Regions from separate parts of the Mus musculus genome. Here regions 2, 3 and 4 are each reported to be linked to region 1. The links are microRNA targets in miRTarBase. Many come from high-throughput screens and were not tested one by one. Region 1 holds a microRNA gene; each other region holds the end of a gene's coding sequence.

Region 1 (7,123 bases):
TTTTCGAGACAGGGTTTCTCTGTGTAGCCCTGGCTGTCCTGGAACTCACTTTGTAGACCAGGCTGGCCTCAAACTCAGAAATCCACCTTCCTCTGCCTCCCGAGTACTGGGATTAAAGGCGTGTGCCACCACACCCGGCTAGGAATATGCATTTTTAACAAGCAGCACTAGATGTGTCAGACAGCCAACCTCACACTTTCCCTGCTTTCTTGTAACTGAATTCTTTTCTTTTGTTATTTTGATTCTTGTCTCTGTACAACTGTATTCTCTCCTTTCCTGTCCATGCAAAGATAGTTTGAAACACTAAACTGACAAGACACTTCTGTTGTCTTTCTCTTAGACTTCAGTTGTATAATAATTAATTTACAACTAAGGCTCATGTTTTTATTTCATTAGCAGGAAATATTTTGTGGCTTATCTTACAGTATAGGATTTGGAGAATTGATACTCTCCTTTAGTTTTTGTTACCATAAAATGTTTCCTGTCTCACTTGGCTGTTTTTCTTGTTATAAGAACGTATCTTGGGAAAGTAAGAATAGATGGTTTTGGCCAGGAGAGGTTTTTTTTTTTTTTTTAATGTGTCTAAACAATAAAAACCAAAGTATTCATACGAAGACATACAGTCATTCAAAAGAATGAGAAAGGATCGATGGCAATGGGGAGATGACTTCTTCAGTGAGTGTTCACCATGGAAACATACAGACTTGAGAAAGTGGAGACAGATGCCTCCTGGAACTTGGTTGCCTGCTGGCATGCCTCAGGTTTGACAATGAAGTGGAGAGTGATTAAGGAAGACACCTAACACCTACCCTGGCTTACACATGCACCAAAATATGTACATGTACACTAACATAAAGTACAGGTGCTGCAGTTATTAGTAGACTGCTTGCCTATCACATACAAAACCTTGGTTTCAATACCAGGCTTGGTGATACACACTTGTGATCCTAGTTAGGAGAACATAGGATCAGAAATTCAAGGCCACTTTCAGCTACCTAGCATAGGATATGTAAGACTATGTCTCAAAAACAATTAACAAATAGCCAAAATAATAGTAAATGTGGTTTGTTAAGCTTAAAGTATATAGCTGAGTGTAAAGGTAAATTGAAGAGCAGTGAGTTCCTTTTGTTGCCATTGAACTTCCCCTGAATTACAGTTTTGCCTCTGTTTTTATACATGTAGATAAGTCTTCAAAGGTATAAAATTTTTCTTTATGTTGTGTGAGTAATACTATTAAATGGATGTTTTTATGTAGTTTTCATAGAAGGAATGTATTTGAGATGAGGATAGATTTAAATTCTTTTCATATACTTTTATTTTAAAATAATTATGTATATTTAAGTATTATTTTTAAATATTATGATGTCAAGGCATATTAATCCTTTTGCCTGTGATAATATAAATTTCCCAAAACTTGGAATATTTGAGAAGAAAATAAAAAATACTAGGAATTATAGAGCTTCTTCCATATTAGAAGCAAAGAAACTAAAGAGACTTTAGATAAAAGATTGAGGTCCCACCTGGAGCAGTACTTCCGTACTCTGGTGACTCTCTGGGAGTACTTTTGTTTCTTTGCGTTTTTTGGCCCGCAGTTTGCATTCATTGATCAGTGAGTTGGTTGACATTCAAACCCACCGACAGCAATGAATGTTGAGTGCAGCCATCAATGTTTCCTTTTGATGAAATTGTCTTGGTCTTTTCTATCTCCTGGCTCTTCTTCCCACTATGGTTCTTTGAAGTCTGTTGTATGTTAGTAACTAGTCATCTGTATGGTTGTGGACTCATAATTATAGATCACCTTGACTGTATAGCAAGAACTTGTTCAAGACAGAAAAGTTGTGAGGAAGAAGGCACTATGTGAGAACCTTGTAAGTAGCTCTGATCACATGGGCTGAGACTTGGATGTTGATGTCTGTAAAGGAGCCCTCAGAGACATTGCTTCATCTTTTGTTTCAAGCTGAGACGTTAAGTGCCCTTTTCAAGGTAAAGCAGTATAGATTATGATTGCAGTTAAGTAAAAATTTTTGTAGTAAACATTTGCTGTGAGCCAGAAACTGTTCAAAGTACCCTCATATATCTTCTCATTAAATTAAAACTCTGAGGTTCTCTCCTCTCCTATTCTACATTTGAGAAAACATACTTGGATACGGAGGCTCAGAGATGACCCAGAATTCCTTAAATTAGCACATGGAGATGGAAATGTATCTGGTTCTCTCATGGAGATGTCAAATCCCTAACCGCAGTAACTGAAACTGGAGGCACAATATGATTTGTATAGACAGTGAGTAACTCTGTGAGTATTTTTGCTGAGTAAATCTCTTGACCCTAAAGCAAAAATTTGAAAGGACGTAGAAGAAATGAGAATAAAAGACTTAACTAGATTTTTTTCCTACAGTAAATAGACATTTTTAATACACCCTATTTCTGACTAGAATGACACATTTCTAGAAGATATTTGAGTGCATTTGGTACTATGATGGCACTTCCCATAAATTGTTAAAATGAAACACTTATTTATCAAGAAATTACAAAAAATAGACAATATAAATACATGGAAGCTTAAAAAAAAAACTTGCTGGTTCCCTTTAGAAAAGAGGCCACAGGACTGTATCTTGTGATGTCTGTCACATGATATATCTGTACAGCCTACTCCTTTGCTTCAGGAAACTTGTTGTCTGTAAGAATCCCAAGGTACAGTCAACGGTCGGTGGTTTTTTTGTTTTTGAATCCCAAACTCACCGACAGCGTTGAATGTTCCATGGAGTCCTCTTAAGGCTGGCTTGGTTGCCCATCTTTGGCCTGCTCTCATATTCTAAGGACCACTGCTGTTGGGTCTCTCACATTCTTCCCAAAATTTCAAGTTAACAGTACTTACACTGTGAAGTTAGTTTGCATAAAGCAGAAATGAGCTGCAGGATTGTGAGACTGCAGTTTACATTGCTGACTAAAAGTGGATATCTGTGGAAATATTTTTCAATGCTATCATTCTGAAAACATCAATATAGCAATTTTGTAGTAATACTTTAATTATTAATGTACAAAAACAAGAAAGACCATAACACATGCTGGGGACTTATGTGTAGTAGGATTTGTATATTTAATTCCAACCGTGTTTTCCTTAAGAAACAGAGACTTACCCGGAGTTCCATAGCCAGAACTTGAACACCAGAGTTCATTGTTCCAGTATTGGTTGGATATGTTGCTTTCTCCTTCCTTTACCAGTCTCAGATTTGAACCTTTACTGCAGAGCTAAATCAAACAAGCAAATTCCTTCTTGTTTGCCTGTAATAGTAGAAAATACATCTAAAGTCATATATTTCAGAGAAAAAGATGAAAAACAAAACTCAGTAGCTGAGAATCATGGGCTGCTAAATTACCACAGAAGTGCTAGTGATGCTCCATGATTTTTTTTCCCCATATAGGAAAAGTAAAAATTCTATGTGTACTAGAGCACAGAGAGTGTATCTGGAGAGATGACTCAGCAGATAAGAACTTGTACTTTTCTAGGCGGGACTTTGATCCCAGCACCTGTCTTAACCACAATCTGTAACTACCAATTCTTGCTGCAGGGATCTGTCAACTCAAGCCTTCACAGGCACTTGAACAAACACACACACACATACATACATACATACATACATACATACATACATACATACATACATTCATTCATACATACATACATACATACATACATACATACATACTTAAAAAATAAAAATCTTTAGAAGAACACAGAGCAACTAAAATGCCAGATGTATCTGATCTTTGTTTTGGGTGGTTATTTTTTATTACTTATTGACTTTCTTTTCCCCCCTCCCTCCCTCTTTTCCTCCTCATTTTTTTCTCCTCTCCTCCCTTCCCATCCCTCCCTCTCTTCCCCTCCCCCTTCCTTCCCCTCCCCTTATCTGGAACTCTCTTTATGTAGAGCAGGCTGCTTCAGACTCAGAGATCTGCCTGCCTTCCTCTGAGTGCTAAGATTAAAGGTTGTATCATCATGCCTGGCTATTTATTGAATATTTTTTATGAAAAGTCTTGAAAACTAATTAAACATTTTTCAGAATATTGGCTTTATTTTAAGCAACATAGAAGCTTTGTAGAGCTGCTGGCTGAATTGAGGTTAATATCTATCTAATCTAGGATACTTTGTGTTTAAATATTTTCTTAAATGTATTTATTAAATTTATTATTTTTATGTGTATGGGTGTTTGCTTAAGTATATGGCTGATAATCTCAAAGGCCAGAGGAATGTGTCAGATTCCCTGGAACTAGAGTTAGATGGTTATAAGCCCACATATGGGTGCTGGGAATCAAACTTGAGTCTTCTGGAAAAGCAGCCAGTACTCTTTTTTTTTTTTAAAGATTTATTTATTTATTATATATGAGTACACCTTAGCTGTCTTTAGACACACCAGAAGAGGGCATCAGATCTCATTACAGATGGTTGTGAGCCACTATGTGGTTGCTGGGATTTGAACTCAGGACCTCTGGAAGAGCAGTTAGTGCTCTTAACTGCTGAGCCATCTCTCCAGCCCCCAGTACTCTTTAACCAATGAGCCATCATTTCTCCAGCCGCTTTGGGTTTAAATACTGATGGTTGACCTAGCTGAAGATTCTTTTTTGTGTTTGTTTGTTTGTTTTCGAGACAGGGTTTCTCTGTATAGCCCTGGCTGTCCTGTAACTTACTCTGTAGACCAGGCTGGCCTCGAACTCAGAACTCAGAGATTCACCTGCCTCTGCCTCCCAAGTGCTGGGATTAAAGGTGTGTGCCACAATGCCCAGTGATGAAGATTCATTTTTAAAGTAGCCAAATGGCACTTCTTGAGAGGGAAAAAAAAAAAAAAATCAGCGAGAATTTGGTTCAAATGGAATTGTTTACATTCTGCATCACTTTATTTCATTCTCCATCAAAATTCTTCTCTTTTTTTTTTAATATTTATTTATTTATTATATGTAAGTACACTGTAGCTGTTCTCAGACACTCCAGAAGAGGGAGTCAGATCTCGTTATGGATGGTTGTGAGCCACCATGTGGTTGCTGGGATTTGAACTCCTGACCTTCGGAAGAGCAGTCGGGTGCTCTTACCCACTGAGCCATCTCACCAGCCCCAAAATTCTTCTCTTGTAATCTTTGCTGAGTTCGGTTGTTGTGAAATGGAAGCCCAAAGAAATGAAAATATAGGGGCTAGAGAGATGGCTCAGTGGTTAAGAGCACTGACTGCTCTTCCAAAGGTCCTGAGTTCAATTCCCAGCAACCACATGGTGGCTCACAACCACCTGTAATGAGATCTGATGCCCTCTTTTGTGTGTCTGAAGACAGCTACAGTGTACTCATATAAGTAAAATAAATTTTTAAAAAGGAAAGGAAGGAAGGAAAGAAGGAAGGTAGGTAGGAAGGAAGGTATCTTCCTGTGTAGTAGTTTAAAACCTCTGGCTTAGGTTTATTTTAAATGGTCTTTGCCTTTGTCTCCTAAGAGATGTCAAGCTTTATATTACTTAGAACAGATAATCAGAAACAGTGATATCTGCTGCACCAAATTAAAATATAAAACCTGTTCTTCAGTGTACAGCATTCCAAGAATCCTGTTCTTGATATGGAGATACTTCCTGTTGTATTTGAGATACTTTTCATCCCCCCCTCCCCCCCCCCAGATAGGGTTTCTCTGGGTAGTCTTGGATGTCCTGAAACTCAACCTATAGACCTGATTGACCTGGACTTTAGAGATTTACCTGCCTCTGCCTTTGGAGTGATTGAATTAAAGAAAGGATATGCCACCACAACTGGCTACTTTTTATCTTTTCAAGATCTTTATTATCCTTATTCCTTCAATTTCCCTTAAGCCTTTAATTTTAGTTTCATCATTCACAAAGTATACATTGGTTATTTTCCCTTTATTGTTATTGTTAATTTTTTTTTAAAGTGTGTGAGCTTGCGTGCACACACTACACATGAACAGGTACCTGTGGAGTCCAAAAGAAGAAAAAAAATGGTATTGCATACCTAGGAGCTATAGTTACAAGTGGTTGTGAGCCTCCTGCCTGTTGCTGGGAACCAAACTCCCAACCTCTGGGAGGTACATGTAGCAAGCACATTTAGGGAGCCAGTCACCTCTGCAGCCTCACAGTGGGACTTTTAAATGAATTTACCTATGGTACTTATGCAGTGATGGACTCTAAAGGATTTAAAAAGCTAAGGGTCATCTTGTTTGACAGTTATATAACTGAACTTTTCCTAACTTGGTTTCAATGTTTAATTCTTAGTTTAACCTGGTTTTGAATTTGTCTGAAATTACTAAGCCATTGTAATTTCACTTACCTCTTTTTCTTTCCAGAGATACCTAGAATACTGAAACTCATGTTTCTCACAGAGATGTAAATGTTTCTAGAGTCTTTCTGGGCCTCTGGAAATTGTGACAAACAAGAAGTATAAACTCTTCTGTTTGCATAGTAGTAGAGAGTTCTTGTCACAGTTGGGAGTCTATATAATTACTACCAAAGTACTATACAGGGAGCATTGCTAGAAACGTTTGTGGTTATTTACCTGAGGCTAAATTTTTATTTTGAAAATGATAGAAATGGCCAAGTGGTGGTGGCGGCACACATCTTTAATCCCAGCACTCAGGAGGCAGAGGCAGAGGCATCTCTGAGTTTGAGGCCAGCATGTTCTGCAGAGTGAGTTCCAGGACAGCTAGCGCTACCCAGAGAAACCCTATCTGGAAAAAAACAAACAAACAAATAAAGGAATAACAACAACAGAAGTTAGGAGTATGTCAGCATGGACATTCTTTAGCTAAAGTGCTACTGTTTCACCTTTTTACTGACTGAAGCTGTAGAGAACCCTAGGGAATGCTTAGTCCCTGATATCATGAGCATGGTGTCATCTAGATGAGATATTCAGCAGATGACAAAGAGAATGACTGAGATGCTGCTGGGAAGAATAGAATCACAGTGTTAACTTTGCCTTGAATGCTTGGAATGCTTTATCTAAACAGATCACTTAAATGCTTAGTTGGATTTTCACTGGGTTTTAAACACGTAGTTGGACCTTCACTAGACAGAGATAGAGCTGAAGGGTGTTGACAGAACAGTCTAGAAAAGGAGTGTGCAAACACTGATGAATAGTG
Region 2 (7,123 bases), not on the chromosome of region 1:
CCCTTATGTGGCCACTTCTTCCTCCTGAGACCGACTACCAAGGATGAGCTATCAAAGCATTGAAGTCCAGCAATCAAAAGCCTCCTTTGGCTCACCTAATTAACATGCCCAATTAAAATTAAATGCCTCATCCTAACATGGGGTTTCCCCTTGTACCTTTATAAAGCACCATTTTCCTATATGCCACATCTGTCTCCTATCCAGAGGCAGTCCTTTGGTGCCCCACTCCCATCCCTGCACCATGATAAAAATCCTTTTCCCACCTCCCCCACCCCCATCCCTTGTCACCCCTTTACCCTTATCCTCTACCTCCTGTCTTTTGTCTTTTGTCCCCTGCCCTTTGTCCCTCTTTGTGCTGAGAACTTGATCTGGGTGCGTCCTCAGTGACAGCAGTCCCTACAGGAACCAAAATTATGAGCTAGATATACATGATGGTTACTGTGCACAGATGTTCCTGGGACCAAAGGCTCCCATTGGAAATAAATGTGATGGTTAACTTTGATTTGTCAACTAGACAAAATGTTGAGTCATCTGAAAAGGGGTCACAATGAGGGACTGCCTGTAGGCATATCCATATTGGTTGTCTTGACTATGTTAACTGAAGTTGGAAGATCTGTCCACTCTGGGTGGTGCTATTCCCTGGGTAGAGTATACTGGATTGTATAGTGCTAGCATCTGGATGCTATCACATCTGCAATCAAGAGCAGAGAGCTCTTGGTTGCAGATGTGATTTGTCTGTTCTGTTGCTTCAAGTTCCTGCTGTCTTGACTTTCAACAGTGATAGACTGTAACCTGGAAATGTGAGCTCAATACACCTTGTCTCCCTTACACTAATTTGTCAGGGTGTTTTATCATGGTGCAGAAAAACACATTAGGACAGTGAATGAGGGGTGGGAGGATTTAACTGGGGCAAGCTCCTGGGTCATGGAAAGTCCCTTCACATTCTTTCCCTTCCTTACCTCTCCCTCTGAAAAAAACTAGGGCAAGGAGAGATTTGTGTATCATAGCTTGGGAGCCTTGAACCTTGAAGATAATGACTTTATTCTCAATCCCTTTTTGAGCCATCAAAACTACAAATCGCCGGGCGTGGTGGCGCACACCTTTGATCCCAGCACTCAGGAGGCAGAGGCAGGTGGATTTCTGAGTTCAAGGCCAGCCTGGTCTACAAAGTGAGTTCCAGGACAGCCAGGGCTATACAGAGAAACCCTGTCTCGAAAAAAAAAAAAAAAACCAAAACCAAAACAAAAAACTGCAAATCAATTTACTCACTCCTTATCATGTATCCACAAGTTCTTCAGGGGTTTTCTAGAAATCCTCTTTGCCACACTGCTTCTTACTATACCATCATTCTTTGACCATCTCGGCCTCTAGGTGGGTAGTTTTCCACACTAGATTTTATCATGTTTAACTTTCTATAACACTGGGCAAATTCCATTATCTCCTTGGGTCTGTAGCACATGGAAAAATAATCCGATCCCAACCCCAAGAGGTTAAAAGGCAAACGCCCCACTGGTCACATATGTAAAATTATTGCCTATCTACTCTCTAAAGCTAGGTCCCAAGCCTGATCAGCCATCAAGATGGCTCAGTGGGTAAGCACTGCCACTAAGCACTAGCCTAGTTCATGGTTACAATTCTACACTATGTCTTTATGTGGGATTACTGGAAAAACTGAGTGAAGGGCATACAACATGTCCTATAGTCTATCTTTTGATAAGATAGCATCTTGCTACAGACATCCCAGCTTCTCTAGATTATTTCTTATGAATGTGAGGCTACAGTTACCTCTACAAAAGTTATTATTTGGGAAAGGTGATTTAACATTTCTATGAATTTCAAAGCTATCCTATGCTGCTACGTATCTTCTCTCCTTCCTGTGAAGTAGATGTCAGATTACGTTAAATGTAGCAACCAATACCAGAAGGTGGCACTGTTATCACACGAACAGTAAGTTACTCCTTTTAATGTCCGTACAGTGGACCACTGGGATTTCACCAATTAACATTATAAACACTAACCAGGTCAGCAATATTTTTCAGTTCAAGTCATTTAAACATTTTTATGTCTATCATTTTTGTGTGTCTGTGTACATGTACATGGGCATGGACACACACACATGAACACTTGTGGAAGACAGGACTTCAGTAGTAGCTGAGAGCTTATATCTGATCCAAAGGCAACAGGGAGGGGTGGGCATGGTGTGGGCTTCACCCCCAGTGACAGAACTCCTCCAACAAGGCCACACCTCCTAATCTTTCCAGTTCACCAGCAGACTAAGCATACAAATACGGGAGCCTAAGGAGGCATTCTCATTCAAGTTAGAGTTACAGGTGGGTGTTGGGAACTGAACTCAGGTCCTCTGCATAATCTTAACTGCTGAGTTCTCCAGTCCCCCCACCCCCCAAGCAATAGCATATAAGAAGTCATTATATTAGTCATTTCTTACCTGTTACCTTTTCAATATTCTATCACCCTCACTCTTCTGTTGAAACCCTGGCTGTCCTGGAACTCACTCTGTAGACCAGACTGGCCTCATCTCAGAAATCCACCTGCCTCTGCCTCCTGAGCGCTGGGATTAAAGGCATGTGCCACCACGCTGAAACCCTTCTTATATTCTCTTTTACTTTCATGACTTTTTGTGTGACCCGCTGAGTTTAACTATACAAAGGCTGCTTCCATGTGTATTGGTGGGATGACATTTACTGGATCATAGTCAATTTTTCAGTCGGTATACCACTGAAGAAACACACACGCACGCACGCACACACGCATGCACGCACACACGCACACAGCTACTCTCCCATCCATAAGGAACTGCTGACAGGCCCAATTGTGCATTGCATTTCAGAGGTATGGTCAGGAAGATGGGGAAATAAAGCAGGATTTGACAATGAACTAGACACAAGGAACAAAAGGAGACATCTAAAATCACTGCTGGTGTCTTTGGAAATTCTAAAACTTCAGGTGACTAAATTGAATATAATTCAATCGAATTATAAACGTATGCCAATATATTTTCTATTAGTGGCCCGGTCCTCGGCTCAGCGGATAAGTGTTTACTCTGGGCAGGCAGCAGGCACTGGGCTGGGCTCTAGACACACAGGTCACAACAGCCCATTACCATTAGGAAGACTTCAGAAGGCAGGCTCTGGAGCACTTGTTTGGGGGCTGACTGCACATCTCAGCCCCGCCCACTCCTCCCCACAGGTGTAGGCAGCATGGGATCTCCGTCAGCCTGACCGGTAAGCTGGGGCTCCATGCAGCTCGATGACTCCAACATGCTTCACAGGCAACTCCCACATCTAATTTTCAGAATATGTTTTTGTTTAAGTAAAAAGAGCAAGCTTTCTGAACACACATTTTCTTTGTACAATTTCATAGGAAGCTGTCTTAAGAATTCACGGATCTGCTGGGCCTGCTGGTATACACTTTTACAATTCTAGCACCCGGGAAGCAGAGGCAGGAGGATCTCTGTGAGTTCAATGCCAACACAGTTTCCATACTGAGTCTCAGCCAAGACTACAAAGTGATACCATGTCTCAAAAACAACAACAAAAAAAAAAAAAATAGCAACATCAAACCCCAAGAATTCAAGGATCTGAAACTTTTTAAAATTATTTTTATTTTTTGGCTTTTCAAGACAGAGTTTCTCTGTTTTAACCCTGGCTGTCCTGGAAATGAAATCTGTTTACTGAAAGGTAAGTAAATGAACTAACCAAAAATGTTTTTTACCAGTTCTACTGATTTGTTCACATGAACACTGAACCAAATAAAAGGGGACGTGAGTGAAAATGAACTCTGGGCAGTTTATTCTCAAGTCATTACAGTGTTCCACCGACTGGACATACAGAGACAGCAGGGTAACAGTAAACATTAGGAGGCACATTCCTGTTCTGAAAGGAGATACATTATACACACAGGGAAAATACAGCAGATAACACGGTATTAACTAACGTAACTGCTGACACTTCGGATAGGATATATTTACAAGAAAATATGCTTTAAAATACTTAAATAATTTCCACAAGCTTACAAAAGAATTGAGATAAATATTAGGAGATCCTGATAATCACAAGGACATATTCCTATGCATTTGAATAAATGTAAGTCTAGAAAAAGTCCCAAAATAGAGCTAATATTTTGCCACCATGAAATATATCAAATTACCGATACCAAAATATGATAAAATGAACGCGCACTGTGGAGGCTGCACCAAAGCAAACAGCGCCAGGCTCATCAATACTGCCAGAGTCTGTACAAGGGTCCCTACGCTTGTGCATTAACAAGGAACTTGTAAGAGAGCCTGGGTGATGAATACGGCAGCAGAGGGGTGATAACTGCCTAGCCACCTTGTTGTCCTATGGTTTTCTGATGCAGGTGCACAAGAGAAAACTACATAGAACTCTAACATATTAGCTTATGAATACAAAAGGTGAGTGGTACGTTCTTGTGCTGGGCAACTAAAGAGCACATTTTAACTCTAGACCACTGTAGCAAATCTTCCGTCCTCTAACAAGTAGTCTTAGAACATAAAAAGGCAGAACACTAACACCATGACTCCACAACACAAGTCTGAGACTGGAAATACCACAGAGCAGCAGCCTGGGAGAAAGGAAACACCTAAGATGTCACCACAAAACAGTACTCGCTCAAACCAGTCTATCACTCAACACCGGAAACCGGGTTCTTCAGAGAGGCGCTTCTGTTTATAATATCCCCACTGTTCAATGCATACTCAGATCTGGTTTTCAAGACATAAATATTGCACAGGTAGTTGACCACCAACATTCTGGTGTCTCTGATATAAAAATGCTATCTCATTTAACCTATCAAACTACGCTACTGAAATTAGTTTTCCCGGACATTTAAAGCCAATCATGTAGGACTTTGGGGTACAATCCTAAGTGAGATGAGAAGACACAGGCACTTGAGTATAGGTTACTACTGATGACAAGGGAGGGGCCACAACAAGGTCGTGACTAAGGGCCGTTTTGACTTAGCATGTGAACTGAGGTCTTCCACCGATTCAAATTCAGAAGTAAGATCTATTTACAAAACTTTGATTTAAAAAAAGAAATCAGTTCTTCCCAAAATTTATGACCAAATAATTTTTACTGAAATAAAACACTGAGCTTTTTAAAACAAGTGTCTCAGGCTGCAAGTTGGTGACATAACCCTATAATTTGGGAGGCAACTGAGGCAGAAGGATCACAAGTTCAAGGGCAGCCTGGTTTACAGAGAGAATTCAAGGACAGCCATAGCTACATAGAAAAATCCAATCTCCAAAATAAAAATAAAGATAAAAAAAGTCCCCTCCCCAGAGAAATAACAATTTTAGCTATAGCTGACCTCCAGTCTCCCCACTTCTGCTTGCCCTGTTCCACTGCCACCTACACCAATCATCTAGTCAAATCTATGCAAAAATTTCCACTCACCTGGACAGCCAGAATATCATAAATGGTTAGAATTCTAAACAGTCCACATTGCAGTATAAATTCTGCAGCACCACAGACCTCATGAGATTAGAAATTTTCATCTGGGAATGGCCCACTTGATAATTTTAGCTGATAAGAATGTGTAAATATTGAATATTTCAAAGGGAGTCATATTAGCAGGTTTAAATGACCAAGATAATAAGAAATTTTAATGTTTTAAATTGTTATTTAAAATTTCAAAGTCACTTAAGAAAAAAAAAAACACACACACATTTTCACCACCCAAACATATAAAGCTTCAAACAGTCACTATGGACACAGCTTTTCTCCTTCCTTTCTTAAAGAATTATGTTGACTAGGCCACTCCCTAAATCCTTGGTTTGCCAACTTAGAGTCCACCCACAAGGCAGTATGACATATGCACTGAGATCATTCACCCTCTATCATCTTTGGCGAGAAGCCTCACGGAAGGACACTGAGGGTGAGTGGCGCAGGCAGCCCACGAGAGCCTCCTCACACATCGCTGACTGGCAGGCTGGCGTCATCTAAGTCCACTGGCTCGCCATCTTCTCCCTGAGGGCCGTTTTTACTCTGAGGTCTGAGCAAAGCCTGTTCAGTCACTTTGGAAGCTGGCTCTCTTGGAGAGACAGTCTGGACCTTGAAGTTCCCTGGCTTGACCTTGGCAAGAGATTGGTAAACTCCTCGCTTCTCCATGGCACAGCCTGAGACCAGAGAGTGGCTGCGAGAGGCTGGGGAATGTGAGGCGGTGGCTGCGGCCCCGGCAGGACGGACAGTGAATTTGGGTTCTGAAGGCCAGCCGGAATGCTCCTGGAAAGAGGAATGGTGGTTAGACACAGCCAATCACCAACGACAAAGTTAGTCACTCAATGTGAGACTTGATTCTCTGAAAAACAAGCAACACACACACACACATACACACAAAGCAGAAGCATGAGCCATGCAGCGTAAATGTGCAAGTTCCTTCCCAAAGCAATGCATTTTAGGGGTGAGTTCAAAGCAATGAAAGCCAACAACCAATTCCACGAAGAAACTAATTCTGTCACCAAAGCTGACTTTGGTAGCTTATGGCACTAGTCAGCCTAAAACGAGATACGGTGTTCCAACTGCAACTGAATTGTGTTGAAAGAAGAGTCTACCAGCATTTAAGAGTTATGGGAATTATCCCAAGAATTAAAAAAGATAAAATGTAAAACATAAAAAAGCAAGGCCATAGATTAATCAACAAAATCAACAATTAATCAACAAAAATCAAGACTTTTCAGACATGATTTTGTCTCATAGCCTGACAACTTGCTTTCTGCTTCTCTTAATTTCACGGCAACTGACTGCAGCTGGTTCAATTTGGCTTATTTTGGGTAAGTCACATATTCGAGTGGCTTAAGATGTTAAAAAGGGTACAAATGAATCACTTTTAAAACCGCTGTAAATGCTGACGTGATTGTACTTCTAAGGACAAATCTGAAGACAGCACAGCGTGCTGCGCAGCTCCTGGTGTGTGCTCATTTAGGACACTAGCGGCTTTGAAAACAGTACCACAGTCAGCAAACACTACCATCACATGGTAAAACTTCACCAGAGCTATAAAACACCATGCAATTCTGGTGACAGCTTATCCAGCATGGATGCACGCAGAAGTTTGCCTGGATCAGAAGAACAAAGGCTCATTT
Region 3 (7,123 bases), not on the chromosome of region 1:
GGCCAGCTTGTATTACTGACTTTAATGCAGTAAGATTCCCCGCTAAGCACTGTTTAGCCGTGAGGGTCTTCTTCACACTGGCTCTCACTAGCACGTTCCCACACGGGCCTCCTGTTCCTCACATGTGAATGATGGATGGTTAGCCTTCAGGAAGGGGTGTGTGGAGGCCTGGTTTCCGAGAGGGAACTTCTGTTTTTAGAACATAGAGCCTTGAAGCACTGTCCGCCATGGCATCACTCACAGGGATGAAATAAGAAAGTGGGTTATTGAATTCTTTAACCGATGGCAAAGTGTAAGAGAGGCCCACAAGCTTTCAGTGCACAGGAAGGCTTAAGGCTTACACACCTACACATGCAGAATCCACAAGCTCCATGCTTGTCCCTCAGAATGGCTCTTGCTGCTTTTAATAGTTCTTTGTTGATTTTCCATGGACAATATGTTTGTTTCATGCAGCACCATGTTCATTGAGAGTTGTGTATGATGTTATCCCGAAGTCTGTATTTTCCGAGGGCATCAGTTCAAGTATCGTAGCTTCTCTTTTTATTCCCAACAAAGACAACAATTAAACTCTGCCTTGCCTTTTTGCAGGAGAAAAGCCGTACAAATGCACCTGGGAAGGCTGCACGTGGAAGTTCGCTCGGTCTGATGAACTGACGAGACATTTCCGAAAACACACTGGGATCAAACCTTTCCAGTGTCCAGACTGTGACCGAAGCTTCTCTCGCTCTGACCACCTTGCCCTACACAGGAAACGCCACATGCTAGTCTGAAAACCTGTCTCCAGCTCAGTGTGATTCCCCGCTCTTCCTGGCCTCTCTCTCTTTCTCTCTCTCTCTCTCCTATCTCTTTCTCTTCTCCTTCTGCCCGTTATCTAACTCATTTTTATATGTACATTTTAATTTCGATTCAGCTGGTCTGGATCTCTGAATTTATATCATTCAAGACTTCCATATGGTCAGTAGTTGATACTCTAACCCTCCCCTCCTTACCACGGGTCAGACCTAAAGAATGTGAACATTATTTTTTCCGGGGATGCTAAGCAAACCCTCCTTACAGATACATTTAATGTAACGAGAACAAGGGAACATGTAAACTAACGACCAATTTGTCGGTTTCTCCATGTATTCCTCAAAAGAATGTCAAAGTAAATGTATTAGAAATGCAGTATCCAGCCTATTAGTCCTTGCCAGAGACCTTCGACTTTCTGCCACATTTTGTGTTTGACGACAGAAAGAATTCTGTCCCTGTTACCAGCTAGCGAGACCTACAAGATGTCAAGCTGGACCCACCGTCTCGCCTTCGCCCTCCCCACGATTCGCCTGTTGACCTGGCTCACCTGCTCAGCTAAATCAGCTCCTTTGTCCTCTGTGGCACCTGAAGCTCATGTGGAGGGCTTTGACATCCCTGGGAGCTGAGCAGGAGCTGTTGCCTTAGGTGGGCCATGTGCTCCCATAGTGTGAGGAAGAAGGAGAAGATATTGGAAATGGAGGAGGGAGTCAGCGATTCCTGGCTAGGACCGGCTGGACCATCAACATCTGGGAAATTCACATTAGCTGTGCAGTGCATTTGTTAAATGTCCATCCCCAGGCACAACTTGGCCGAGCACACCTTTGCTGCAAAGCTGGATACCGAGAGGGTTATCCATCTGTGCCACCACCACCTCCGTTCCTGCAGGATCCTTCATTGTCGATCATGAAGCCTTGAGAGTAAGGAATCCACAGAAATATTTGTTCAGTCATGTAAAAAAAAAACAAAAAACAAAAACTTTTGAGGCAGTATAAAATGGTCTCTTCTCCCCCCACCCCCCAACCTACTAAGAGTGTTTTTGCAAACAGGAAAACATTGAGTGGTACTAATACTCCCATATCCAATGAGCCACATAGCTTTCATATGGAGCTTTTCTGTGTGAGCTGTATGGTGCCAAACCAGCAATCATTTGTGTCTATGACACATAGTATAAAAGAGCATCCACTAAGCTTGAGCAGAGTCACTCAATTAAGACCTGAGTGACACTATTTGTAAATATACCTAGTGTGAAGCACATAGATCTTTATTTTGGTGACTTTTTTTTTTTTTTGAAAAATAGAGAAAACCACAATTCAGGGATTTATATATGTAGCTTGAAGATTCCCACAAGTTTCTGCCAGAGCTAGCAATTTCCTGTCAGGTACCCTGTTAGGACAAACCAGAAGCAATGACTCGTGTTGATGTTGCAGATAAATAGCACCATTATTTGGGGGGAAGGTTTTTTTTGTTTCGTTTTGTTTTTCAAAAGCAGGCTTTTGAACACCACAGTCTAAATGCCAATGAAAACAGTTCATAGATTGCAGAAATGTCACTGGTTCCAAATCTGAGAAATAAAATGGGCACAATGGTCAGATATGGCTGCCTCTGACCAGTAGTCCCTTCATCCCCTCACAAAGGATGGAGGAGAAGGGGGGGAGGGGAATCCTGAAGAGTTATCCCAGCCACAACTCAGGATCCAACACTACCTGAACTGGGAGGAACACCCTACCGGATTGTTCTTGGATGTCGGGGAGTGAGAGGTCTTGGAGCCCTGCACTTGCAGGGAACTTGATTTGATGGCACTATGTTCATAGTTGTGGGGGCTGCACTCGGGAGGCCCTGCTCAGCCCTGTGAACCAACTGAGGGGGGAATGTGGGTAAAAACTGCAAAGAAATGTTATCTTAGCTCTTGGGTTCCTTTTCTTTCCCTTTTTAGCACTGAAAAAAAAAGTCTGTTTGGGCTATTAAAGCATGCTAATTAGGCTCTTGCCTTTCTTTTTGTTTGCAACGATGACATGAATTGAGGAGTGAGTGTCTCTTGGGAAAGCAGGGTCTCCCTTGTCAGTGTTCCTTAGCGTTCATGCCACCACCATCGTGTCTTGAAGTGGTTCTTCTGCAGGGCACTGAAGAGTCCCGTTTGTTTAGTGTTTGTTCCAATTTGTATGCTCCGACCCAGTGAGCAGCGGGGTAGGGTGCAAGGAAGGACCCTTAGCTTTGCTTCAAACCAAGAATAGTTAATAGCACCATGGCGTATTTAAATTTTGTTCAAAAGTCTTTATTATATTACTCTTTAGCTTGCTTAGATCATGTTAACAGAAAGATCCATTTTAACTCTGAAAGAAAAGTAACCCAGAGAAGCCATTCTCTAGTCCCATGCTAGTCTGATATAATTTTAGTTAATTGGCCCTTACCAAATTTCCTATATATATATATATATATATATATGTATGTATGTATGTATGTATGTATGTATTTGTATTTTACTATGATAGTTGAGAAATTTAGTCTCTTAGTATTCTTTTGTTTGGTTGTTTGGTTGGGTTTTTTGTCTTTTGTTTGTTTGGGTTTTTGTTTTTGTTTTTATTTTAGCTGTTTTTGTGCATGATACAAGTTAAGATGCCCTGGATGTTTGATTTTGGATGACATGCTATGTTCTTGTCAGTGGTGGTTCATTTGCAGTAAATTGATGAGGACAGGCTGTAAACATGAAGCCAGCACTGTGTAAATCATTACAGAGTTCATTCAGTTACTGCTCAAGTCTCATCTGGGGGAAGTTCCAAAAATAACCAACATCTTGTGTTTTTGAGTTTCACAGTGGGAAGGGTACATCATTAAATGGGCATTTTGCACTCGAAAGTCACTTGGTTTGGAGACTGTGTGTAGCATAGCTTTGTTCAACTAAGAAGATACTAAATATGCAGATGTTGCAAGAGCCTTGGAACAGAATTACAGGGGAGTGATATATGTATATGTATGTTTTATTAAACACCCACCTGCACTATCAGTATTGCACTAATGTGGAATTTGAGAGACTATTGCTGATATTGTAATCTGCGCACCATTCCTTAGATTGTTAAAAAAGACAATCTCAGAGATCAAAGGTTTTATAATTTGGTTTGAAATTAGAATTGTCTTGAAGGAGTTGCTAACGTACATGAAGTCACTTGAGTTCTCTTTATTCTCTTCTTGGTCAAGGTTAACAGTTTCTAAACGATTGCAAATTCACTTAAGTAATACATTTACAAAGCCATTTTACATGCATTAAAAGAGGGCTACAATGTGTTTTACAAATACTAGCACTTTTTTTTCCTGTTATGTACCTAGTGTTAGAGGGTCAGAATAATCTTTCTGCTTGGCATCTCTTAAAACCTACCTGCAAGCATAGCAGGCTTATTGCATTTACAGTTCTTTAATACTTGTATAAACTATGCAGAAATTTTTAATAAAGTGTAATATATTTTATAAGCTAATAAGACTGAATGGGTAAAGGTTTTTAGCATGCATTAGTATACTTGCAAATACTGAAACATTTTGGTAATCTTTCTTACTAAAGATGTGAATGTTTAATGTACCTTCTGTTTCTACCCTGTAGTCCAATGGGAATTCAGTAATGACATTTTGTCATGTCAAACTGTGAACATAAATTTGTACTGTACAGTCCTCATATACTATATACAGTATGCAATATATGTATTATATACTTGTTAATAAAACCATCTGAATATTACACATAATCATGTGATTACTATAGGTAGTATTTACCAGGAACAAAGACGTGAGAGATGTAAAGTTTCAAAGTAAGTCACTGATGAGCAATAATTTTTAATGGTTAGAAAAGGAAGCCCATCTAGCCAGTAGGTACACCACAGGAGTGAAGAGTCTTAAAGCAATGACCCAGTAATGTCCAGGAAGAGGAAGGCTCAGTTTAAGCCATAGAACTGCAGACATTCATCTGTAAATACATCCAGTGCATTTTAGAAGAGCTTTGTTTCTCCATCCTATCCAGAATGCCTCCTTGCTGTGTGTGATGTTCCCAAGGAAACTCTTCCCAGAAGAGTCTGCCTCTGTAATTCTGCTCCCTTTTCTTATTCACAGCTGATTCTCCAGCTCCATTAGCCCAGCAAAGCAGACTTTTCACTCCAGTGATACTGGATCTTGCTAATCACAGCTAATTCTGGTTAAGAATTAACCAGAGACCACAGATTCATAAAATATCTCACAAAGGGCCCTAGTAGAATCCTTTAAAGGACTCTCAAACTTCCCTTTGAAACTCCCACAAGCCAGGCCTCCCATCATGTGCATTGCTCTGAACATTGTCTCCCAAGCTTCCAGACAACATTCCTCTAATCCCTCATCACTCAATGGTTTTTCCAGCCCCAAGTACAAGTGCCACTGTAGTCCACACATTGTCAGGTCTGACAGAGTAACACCCTACTCCTGATACTAATTTCTGCCATAGAGATAAAAACAGCATGACTGTAAGGAGGGAGGGTTTGGTTTTTTTATGCTCCCATATCCTAGTCCATCACTGAAGGAAGTCAGGGCAGGAACTCAAGCAGGTGAGAACCTGGAGGCAGGAACCTATGCAAGAGGAAGGAGTGCCATACAAGCTTGCTCCCCATGGCTTATTCAGCCCGTTTTTGTTTTTTGTTTTTTTAATATTTATTTATTATATGTAAGTACACTGTAGCTGTCTTCAGACACTCCAGAAGAGAGCATCAGATTTCGTTACGGATGGTTGTGAGCCACCATGTGATTGCTGGGATTTGAACTCAGGACCTTTGGAAGAGCAGTCGGGGCTCTTAACTGTGAGCCATCTCACCAGCCCTCAGCCTGCTTTTTCAATACCATCTAGCACCATCTGCCCAGAGGTAGTACTATCCACAATGAGTTAGCCCTTCCCCCCACCAACACCGACCCCCAACAACCATCAATCAAGAAAATGCCCTATAGATTTGCCTACAAGTAATCTGGTGGGGATGCATTTTCTCAGTTGAGGTACCCTCTTCTCAAATGACTCTAGGTTGTGTCAGGTTGACAAAAACTTAGCCAGCACACTATCAGTGTGTTCTCCAGACAGTTCTTGTGCTAGAGAGCAATTCTTCAATCCAGCAGTGTGGGAGATGGGCTCTAATGGGAAACACTTGAATCATGGGGTCGGGCTCCCCCATAAATTCCTTTCTCATGTGTCAGGGTTAGTTCCTGCAGGGCTAGATTGGTCATCTTGAGAAATTACAATCTGAGGCAATCCTTTGGGTTTTTTCCTATTGCACACAGGTTCATTTCCCTTCCTCTTCCAACTTGGCACCATGTTAAGAGGCTGCACAGGGCCCTCACTTTATCTTGGACTTCCCAGCCTCCAGAACTGAAACTAAATTTTGCTTTTATAAACTATAAACCTAGACCCAAGGATTGTGTTACAGCAACAGGAAATGAAACTAGGACTTCTAAAAAAATAAAATTATTTATTTATTTGGAGGAAGGAAAGGGAAAAAAATATGATTATAATCTCAAAAATAAAAGACAAATTGTTGCAAAATACTCTCTCTCTCTCTCTCTCTCTCTCTCTCTCTGTGTGTGTGTGTGTGTGTGTGTGTGTGTGTGTACATACATGACAATGCTTACATGTGGAGGTGCAAGGACAGTTCACAGGAGTTGGTTTTCTCCTTCCACCATGTGGGTCCCTGAGATCAAATTCAGGGCAACTGGGTTTGGTGGCAAGATCCTTTACTCACTGAGCCATCTCACCTGCCCTAAGTTTTTAATCTACAATTAATTAATTAATCCTAATTAATAGGATTCATACCTTAATAGGTCAGGAACAGATAGTAAGAGCTTCATAGAAGTACATAAATCTGAATAAATATGACTTTTCAAGCCTTCAGTGGTCATGAATAAAAACAACAGATGGTTTCTGACTAGGGTTTTAAACCTTTTTTTTTTATTGTATTTTTTATTATTGTGGATGTGGACACACACTTGTGCAATGGAGAGCTTGTGGAAATCAGAGAACAACTTATGGGAGTTGGGTGTCCTTCCACCATGCAGAGGATAGGACTCAGGCTGTCAGGTTTGTCAGCACTGAGCCACCATGCCAGCCCTAGAGTACTTTTTGCTCAAGACAAAATATAATAACTCTCATCTATTCCCATTATTCTCACACCAAATGAATTTGTTACTTACATGTCATGGTAGGGATCAAAGCACTTGACAGAGGGGAGGGCAGGTTTTGGTTTCAAGGGTTTCAGTTCGTCATGATGGGGAAGGCATGACAGTTCATGTAGGTGAAAGCTTGTAGCAGAAGCTCATCACAAGGGAGAAGGGAGCAGGGTAAGCT
Region 4 (7,123 bases), not on the chromosome of region 1:
TTTGGTTGGTGGTTTAGTCCCAGGGAGCTCTGGGGGTATTGGTTAGTTCATTTTGTTATTCCTCCTATGGGGCTGCCAATCTCTTCAGCTCCTTGGGTACTTTCTGTAGCTCCTTCGGGGTTTTGTTTTATTTTGGGTTTTGACAGGGTCTTACTAAAAAGTCCTCCCTCCCTGACCTGGAACTCAATATGTAGACCAGGCTGGCCTCGAACTCACAGAGATCTACCTATTTCTGCCTCCCAAATGCTGAGATTAGGGGCGTGCACCACCACACCGGTGCAGTTGCCTCCTTTGGTCTTGACTAGATTGCAGATGATCTCTTTGAGCCACATGTTCTGTGAAGGATATTACATCCTGCTGCTTTCCTGCCACCATGGGAAGGGCCTGTTGCAGGAGGGTCTGGCTAGCCTGCTCACCCCTGCTGCTGTGTGTCCTCATCTTGGAGTTGCCTGAGCCATCTCTCTGGCCTCCAAGCTCTTGATATTTTTAACTTAATGCTGCTCTAAAAATTTGTCTCTGGTGTTTGATGCTGCTTCACTAAAAATGGAATTTTTGACATATGGTCATTCTGATATTATTAGTTATATTATTAGTTAGAACTACTTAGTTATATTATTAATTCACTAACCAATTCATCAATTAGAGTTCCCCAAAGTAGCATCTCCATTGTTTGAAAATTTCTTCTTTCAGACAACATGCCAATTTGGCTGGCACACTGAGTGGCCATGCGTCCTGGGTGTTGAATGTTGCGTTCTGTCCTGATGACACTCACTTTGTCTCCAGGTATGTAGGAGTCTTAAATTTCTAAACTGCTTGGCAGAGGGAGCAGTATTCTGGGAATGTGCTTTAAAATTGAAAGACTACATTACATACAGATTTTTTTAAAATTCTGAGGCTAGAGAGATGGCCCAGCAGTTAAAGATACGTGGCGGCTCTTCTATTTCCAGCACCCACATGGCGGCTCACCACCATGTGAAACTACTCCCAGGGGAGCCCATGTTCTGGTCTACTGGAATACTCTCAGACAAAACATATGCATAAATAGAGTTAAAAACTTCTTTAAATTAATGAAGTACAAGCTTCCCAGGCTAGGCATGATGGTATAATCCCTTAACCCCAGCCTTGGAGAGGTAGAGGCAGGTAGACTTCTAAATTAAAGAGCAGACTAATCTACATAGTGAGTTAGAGCCAGCTAGAATTATGTAGTGAGATCTTGTCATCTCCCCCACCCCAAAATTCAAATTGCCTTTGTTTACTCTAGTTTTTAAAGGGTTTTGTTGTTTTTAAGTAAACTACTGAAATCTTAGATTTTTTCTTAGAAGTCTTTTCCACTTAGTATAACTCTGACATATCCCTTAGAATCTAATCTGCAGATCTGTGTGTTTATCGATGCTAGTGATGTTCAGGCCCCTGGAGGCCAAGGTGATTGAGAAACGTGGACTGGAGCTGATGAGCATTGCTCAATGGTTCTAAGCACTTTTGACATTTCTGCAGACCTCCCTCTCATCCAGGAATGGGTAGATAGGCTTAAGGCTCCTGATGACAGTACTTGGCAGGAGAATATTGGCTGCCCAGTGAGGAGATAGTCATCTGGGGACACCTGTACCCCAGCTCTGTAGCAACAAGGGACCCTGTAAAAGCAGAAGTGTGTGAGTCTGCAGAGGAGTGTAGGATAACTCAGAGTTCTCATCCTGACGTTTGCTTTTGAAACAGTTCATCTGACAAAAGTGTGAAGGTTTGGGATGTTGGAACAAGGACCTGTATTCACACCTTCTTTGATCACCAGGATCAGGTATGGAATAGTAAGCATGTAAACCCCTCCCATTTACGTTTCTTTTATAGTCTTTGTGTTGGAGTTAAGAGTGACAGATATGAGGCAAGCCCCCCAACATGTGCCAAAACACAGGACTTAGCCACACTCCTCCTTTGAAGTCACACACCTATGCCTGGGATCCTTTTCTGGGTACTTGTAGAAGGCCTTCTTCTTTGGGTGGTTCCACGGCTTAACGTAATCATCGTTTACACTTCTGGAGTTATCCAGGGATATGATTTAATATATAGGTCAGAGAATGTTACAGGTTGTTCACTTGTAATAATAGTACTAAACCTGGTTTCCATCTTTGTAAGGCAAAGGAAATGGTAACATCTTTGTAGGATTCTTCTTGGTCCTTACTGTTTATAAGAGTCTCCTGGGAGATCTTAACATGCCACTTGTTCGCTGAGGGCAGTGGTACATGCTGCAGTCTGCCTTGGAGGCAGAGGCTGGAGGATCTACATTGGTAGTTCCTTACCTGGCATGTGTCAGGTGCCAGCGTCAGCCTTCCATACTGAAGAAAATGGACTCTGACCCACCTGGTGCCTCATGGGCCTTTCTTGACCAAGGGAAGGGGATTTTAAACAGTCTTGCACTGGAGCCCAGACTGGTCTTGAACTTAGTGTAGTCTGCCTGCCTTTGTCTGGGACTGCAGGTGTGAACCCCTGGCCCTGCTGAGACTATGTTTCAGCCTCTCCTGCATGTTGCCATCACTGCTGATTCCAGCCACTACAGGTAGCAAAGGGTCGAGAGCCAGAGCCATGGTTCTCAACCTAGAAGTCAAACAACCCTTTCGCAGAGGTCACATATCAGATATTTCCATAACAGTAACACTTATGTTAACACAGTAACCATTATGAAGTAGCAACTAAAATAAGTTTATGGTTGGGGATACCACAACATGAGGAACTGTATTAAAGGGTCACACATAGCACTAGGAAGGCTGAGAGCCATTGGTCTGGAGGAACTAGGCAGCATAAAAATTAAAGTGCTCAGAGCAACATCGACAAGAAAAAATCAGCAGATGATTAATTTGAATGCTTTTACATATCTTACACGCTTCTGGGTGTATCTTATGCTTAACCAGCGTAATTACTATTTATACTGCTTTGTGTTTGTTAAATTATTGCAGTGAAGCTGAAGGGTTGAATCTTGGTAGTTCACTACTGACTTTAAGCATTTTTCTTAGTCAGTCCTAGCTGTGTTGCTTATTTTGTGGGTTTGTTGTGATGGTGCTTCAGAGAAAGATGTTTGGAATGGAAGTGAAGCCCTCATATGGCCTAAACCAAGGTTAGCCTCCAATCTCAAGGCAAGGGCACGGCCTGACAGTGATAATTCCTAGTAATTACACAGTTAACTCAGCCACGTTCATTGTGAGAGAGAAAATTGGCTGTATCCAGTTCAGTGCACAGCCAAGGAAATGAGTGGTGCTCAGGAGCTCTTGGCTCTTTGGGAAAGGGTAAATATTGACCTTGTTGGGGGTAGGCATGAGTGGTTTGTATTGCAGTTTTCCCTACAGGCTCCTCCTGGAAGCATAGTGCTGGCCCAGGCAGGAATACACTTCATGGCAGGACCCTGGATCTGAATCTTTGAAAGGGTAGTTGATTGTCGTTATCTTAGAGAGAAGTACTATTCCATAGCCAGAGGAAGTGGTCCACTTAGAGATTAGGCTCCATCCTTGTGGACCTTGGGCTAGTCTAGATTCAGAAGGAAGAGTACTCACTCCTTAAGCATTCCTTACCAAAAAAATACAGGAATTAGAAGGCTTTATGGCTTTATTTCTTTAATTTGCAGGTTTGGGGAGTAAAATATAATGGAAATGGATCAAAAATTGTATCTGTTGGAGATGACCAGGAAATTCATGTCTATGACTGCCCAATTTAAACACCAGCATCCTCGGGGCTAGGGCCTCAGACTACACAGGGTTGATCATGACATTCCTCAGATTTTTTGGCATACTTAAAGTACAGCATATATTGTAGAACTTTTGTAGATACAATATAAATTTTTCCTGTTTTATTGGAAATGTTCTTCATATTTTAATGTAAATAAAGCATTCTTAATGCAACCACCTGCATTTGTGAACGTGCTGTTCTTTTCCTAGGAGAGCAATTGACGGTTAGTGAAGGAGAGTGCCTGCCTGAGAGCGGAGATCCAGGTGCTCACTGGGTAGAAAGGCAGCTCTCTGTTCCCAGGTGATACCAGCCTATTTCAGAATGGAGTTCTGAAGGAAACAGGCTGAGTGCACTGGAACTTGGTGTCATCCTACCTGCCTGAGCATCCCTCCATGTGTCTATTTACAATGCCCCCTTTACCACACCCTCTCTCCCTGTTCTTTTTAGAGAGGTCTGACCTACTGGCAGCCTGCCTTAGCCCTTGTGGGCTCAAGACTAGTGGACAGGGCTAAACACTGCTGTGCCTCAGACTGAGTTCCAGCACCTTAGGTCTTCTCTGCAGTCACCTCTGGACTGGGTCTGCATGGTAATGGGGAAGGTTTCAGACATTAACATCCTAGTGCTTGTTGCTTCTTACTGAAACTCTGTGCCTGGCCACATTGTGCCTGTCCTCAGGCCTAGCTCCTTAGAATAGTCCAGGCTGGTTTCCCACCTCCCTTGCTCACTCCCCTGTAGCTACACTGTCCTTTTTCCCTGGCCTCAGTGTCTCTTCCTCAGACAGGTCTACACCCTCACAGTTCAGAGGCTCTACAGATGGCAGCGTCTCAGAGTCCTTGTTCCCCATCCCCTTCTGCTCTTCCCCACTACTCCAGCTCTCTACTGTCCTTCACTCCGATTGGATCGCTGCATTCATCCCAAGTCAGAGTTCCCCAAGAGAAAGCTTATTCTATCAACCAGTGTGAGATAGTCTAGCACGTTACCCTGTTAAGTGCTAAGAAAAGAAAAAGCAAAGCCATTTGTCTCATACCAGTTCAATTTTAATTTTAAAGTGGAAAGTGTACAGGTGGGACAGTTAAGCAACACTCTGTAGATTCATAACAAAGAGCTGAGTCTAGTTTTATCCTACACAAGCTAAGTAGTAGCTCTCCAACAGTGATTTATTTGTAAGTCACAGCACAGAAACACCACCCTGGAGTTGTGGTCCACTTATTAATTGGAGGAAGCAGTTTTAAGTCTGTCATGGCCTGTGGTCAAAGTGAGCACTGTACTTTGAAAACGTATGTTTTACTAGCCAGCAGTGTTCTTCAGGAGCCTGGTCCTGCTAGCTGGCTTACTTGACCAGCCACAGGTCTCATCTGCCCTTTGACCGCCCCCAGGAGAGGTTCCTGGTCTGTGTCAAAGTCTGGTACCATAAAAACCAAGTAAGGATGGATCTGACAGGTTATCCCAGCAGCTTATAAAGCAGGGTTTTTAACTTCATTTGTAGAAAAGAAGGGAGAGGTTACGGCTAGAGGCTGAGGTAGCCTTTATTTAAAGTGCAGTCTACTTGCCAGGAATAAAGTAGTAACTAGAACACATTCCCAAGCAGCTGTCATTGCCAGCCAACTAGAACCTGGTTGGGCCAGTTCTCACCACACATCACAAGCAGAAAGCCCTTTGCAGTATGGCTGTACAGTGAGAATGACGGGCCTTTAGGAAGGAGATAATACTGAGGGGTCTGTGCCATTGCACACCCTTAAGACGTTAAGCTGGTGTGCTGGGAACTAAGCCACCAGCACTCCCCTTTGGTTGTTTCTGCAGCTGGTCAGGGCTGCCAGGGATACATATGAAGGGCTTAGCTTTCCTTAGGGAAAGAAAGCACTTTGGTGGGACAACACTGCAAAGGTCGTCAATAGATGATCATTAAGAGCACAAAGAACAAGGTATGGGGTTACAGGCAAATGGCTTTATTGGCTTATTTAAAATGGGCTTGTCATCACAAGGCTTGGGAAGTTCAGAAAACTTCCAAAAGAGATGTTCAAACAACCCCCTTTCTAACCAGTCAAGGGGAAAGAACATTATGCCCTAGACTGTCTCTGCAGCTTTTGAGTCCAGCCTACTCTGTATGAACCAGGCATGCTGGGCCTACTGCAAGCCATATGTGGACTTTTACTATCTTAAGAGTTCTAGAGTCTAGATTCAGAAATGTTACTACCAGACCTGAGCTCATACCCTTGGTGACTCTGCCAAGGGAGGAAGGGGAGAAAAACCACAGACTAGAGATGGGCCAGACACCCACCTTCTGGGCCTTTGTTAGGGGCCAAGAGTGGTCCTCTGGGCCTACTGTGGGAACGAACCATGGCGAAGCCACTAAGAAGCACAAAAGGTCAGTGTGGTACTGGCATCTCCAAAATAAGTCCTGAAAGTACAAATGAAACAGATTCCATATGCAGACTAGAGGGGATTGAACTTAAAACATTTAAATATAAATCAAGCTATAACTTAAGTTACAACTAGAAGAGAAACAAGAAAACCCAAGAGATACTCAGCAGTGGAGACTGCTGAACACATACACGGGACACCCCAAACGTGAGGCTATTAAAGCGATGCCATTTTCATTGTGCCAAGTTTACATTCATCATGTACTAGAGTCCAACCAGGCCAGGCCACACCGCACCATCATGCCGTCTGGCACTGCACGCCAGCGCGGGGCTCTTCGTCATCTTCCTCATAGGCCTCCCTGTGCTGGCGCCAGCTCTGCTCGTTGGGATTGAACTCCTTCAACTCCACCTGATCCATGTCATCTGTGATCCTCACCTTCTGCCGAGGGGGAAGCAGAGCCTCCAGCTGAGGAAGCTTCTCCTGAGAGAGCCACTGTTTTTCAGGGAAGACTACCTGCAGAGGAGAGCACAGAGGGCGTGGGCTTTCTTTGCTTTCTGCCAAGGTAGTGGACGGTAGGTCTCATGAGAGTCGAGATGCACTTACTAAAAACTGTATGATCATCACCCCCTTCTCCAGGGGGGCTTTGTAGATGGGCATCCCCTCGTTGCGGATACACTTCAGGTCCCCATGCTTTATCACCTCACCTGCCACAAAGAAGGTTCATTTATGAAACAGGAAAAGGAGGGGAGCCTGGAAAGGTTAACCTCCCTCTAAGGAGAGCTAGGGTGGGCTCTAGTGGCCTTGCAGCGATGGACAGAGGATGGAGTCCTATCCCTGTCAGGCATTAAGCAGGGGCTGGGGCAGGAGACTGGCCCTGGCCCACATCAGGAAGCAGCAAGCACACTGAGACCTCTGCCATACTGGAGAACCTGGCTTCCAGCGGGGCCAGTGTGTGCCTGTCTCTTCTGGGAATTATGGATGTCACTAGCACAGACAAGATGACCGCTGCTCACAGCTGCAGGCAGAGCTTAGAAAGGGATTCCCAGGAGCCTCC

The links. The annotated mature microRNA mmu-miR-181a-5p reads AACAUUCAACGCUGUCGGUGAGU and lies in region 1 at 2,734-2,756, opposite strand. An mRNA with a match to its seed (bases 2 to 7 or 8) in the 3' UTR can be bound and repressed. Matches are read on the target gene's strand: a 7mer-m8 pairs with bases 2 to 8, a 7mer-A1 pairs with bases 2 to 7 and ends in A, and an 8mer does both.
Region 2: the mRNA of Plekha1 is a reported target of mmu-miR-181a-5p. The part of its 3' UTR that is shown has no 7-base or 8-base seed match.
Region 3: miRTarBase lists Klf3 as a target of mmu-miR-181a-5p. Seed matches in the 3' UTR shown: 7mer-m8 at 4,343-4,349.
Region 4: miRTarBase lists Dnaja4 as a target of mmu-miR-181a-5p. Seed matches in the 3' UTR shown: 8mer at 6,318-6,325.

The regions. Positions count from the first base shown.
Region 1 is chr2:38,848,374-38,855,496 of GRCm38, reverse strand. It overlaps Mir181a-2 (microRNA 181a-2), which reads right to left and starts at 2,762; the gene lies at 2,687-2,762. The region is part of intron 3 of Nr6a1 (nuclear receptor subfamily 6, group A, member 1); the gene reads left to right. It overlaps Nr6a1os (a long non-coding RNA gene), which reads right to left. Exons shown (of 7, transcript XR_866167.2): 3 at 3,138-3,282. Mir181b-2 (microRNA 181b-2) reads right to left here and starts at 1,667; the gene lies at 1,579-1,667.
Region 2 is chr7:130,909,972-130,917,094 of GRCm38, reverse strand. It overlaps Plekha1 (pleckstrin homology domain containing, family A (phosphoinositide binding specific) member 1), which reads right to left. Exons shown (of 13, transcript NM_001346515.1): 13 at 3,601-6,263. The coding sequence ends at 6,053. Among named protein-coding and RNA genes, the nearest start is that of Mir7061, 5.3 kb to the right of the region's middle.
Region 3 is chr5:64,828,389-64,835,511 of GRCm38, forward strand. Klf3 (Kruppel-like factor 3 (basic)) reads left to right here. Exons shown (of 6, transcript NM_008453.6): 6 at 589-4,513. The coding sequence ends at 770. Among named protein-coding and RNA genes, the nearest start is that of Gm31684, 15 kb to the left of the region's middle.
Region 4 is chr9:54,713,920-54,721,042 of GRCm38, reverse strand. It overlaps Dnaja4 (DnaJ heat shock protein family (Hsp40) member A4), which reads right to left. Exons shown (of 7, transcript NM_021422.4): 6 at 6,673-6,773; 7 at 4,726-6,582. The coding sequence ends at 6,367. It overlaps Wdr61 (WD repeat domain 61), which reads left to right. Exons shown (of 11, transcript NM_023191.3): 9 at 691-783; 10 at 1,714-1,792; 11 at 3,608-3,890. The coding sequence ends at 3,697. Among named protein-coding and RNA genes, the nearest start is that of Mir5710, 9.2 kb to the right of the region's middle.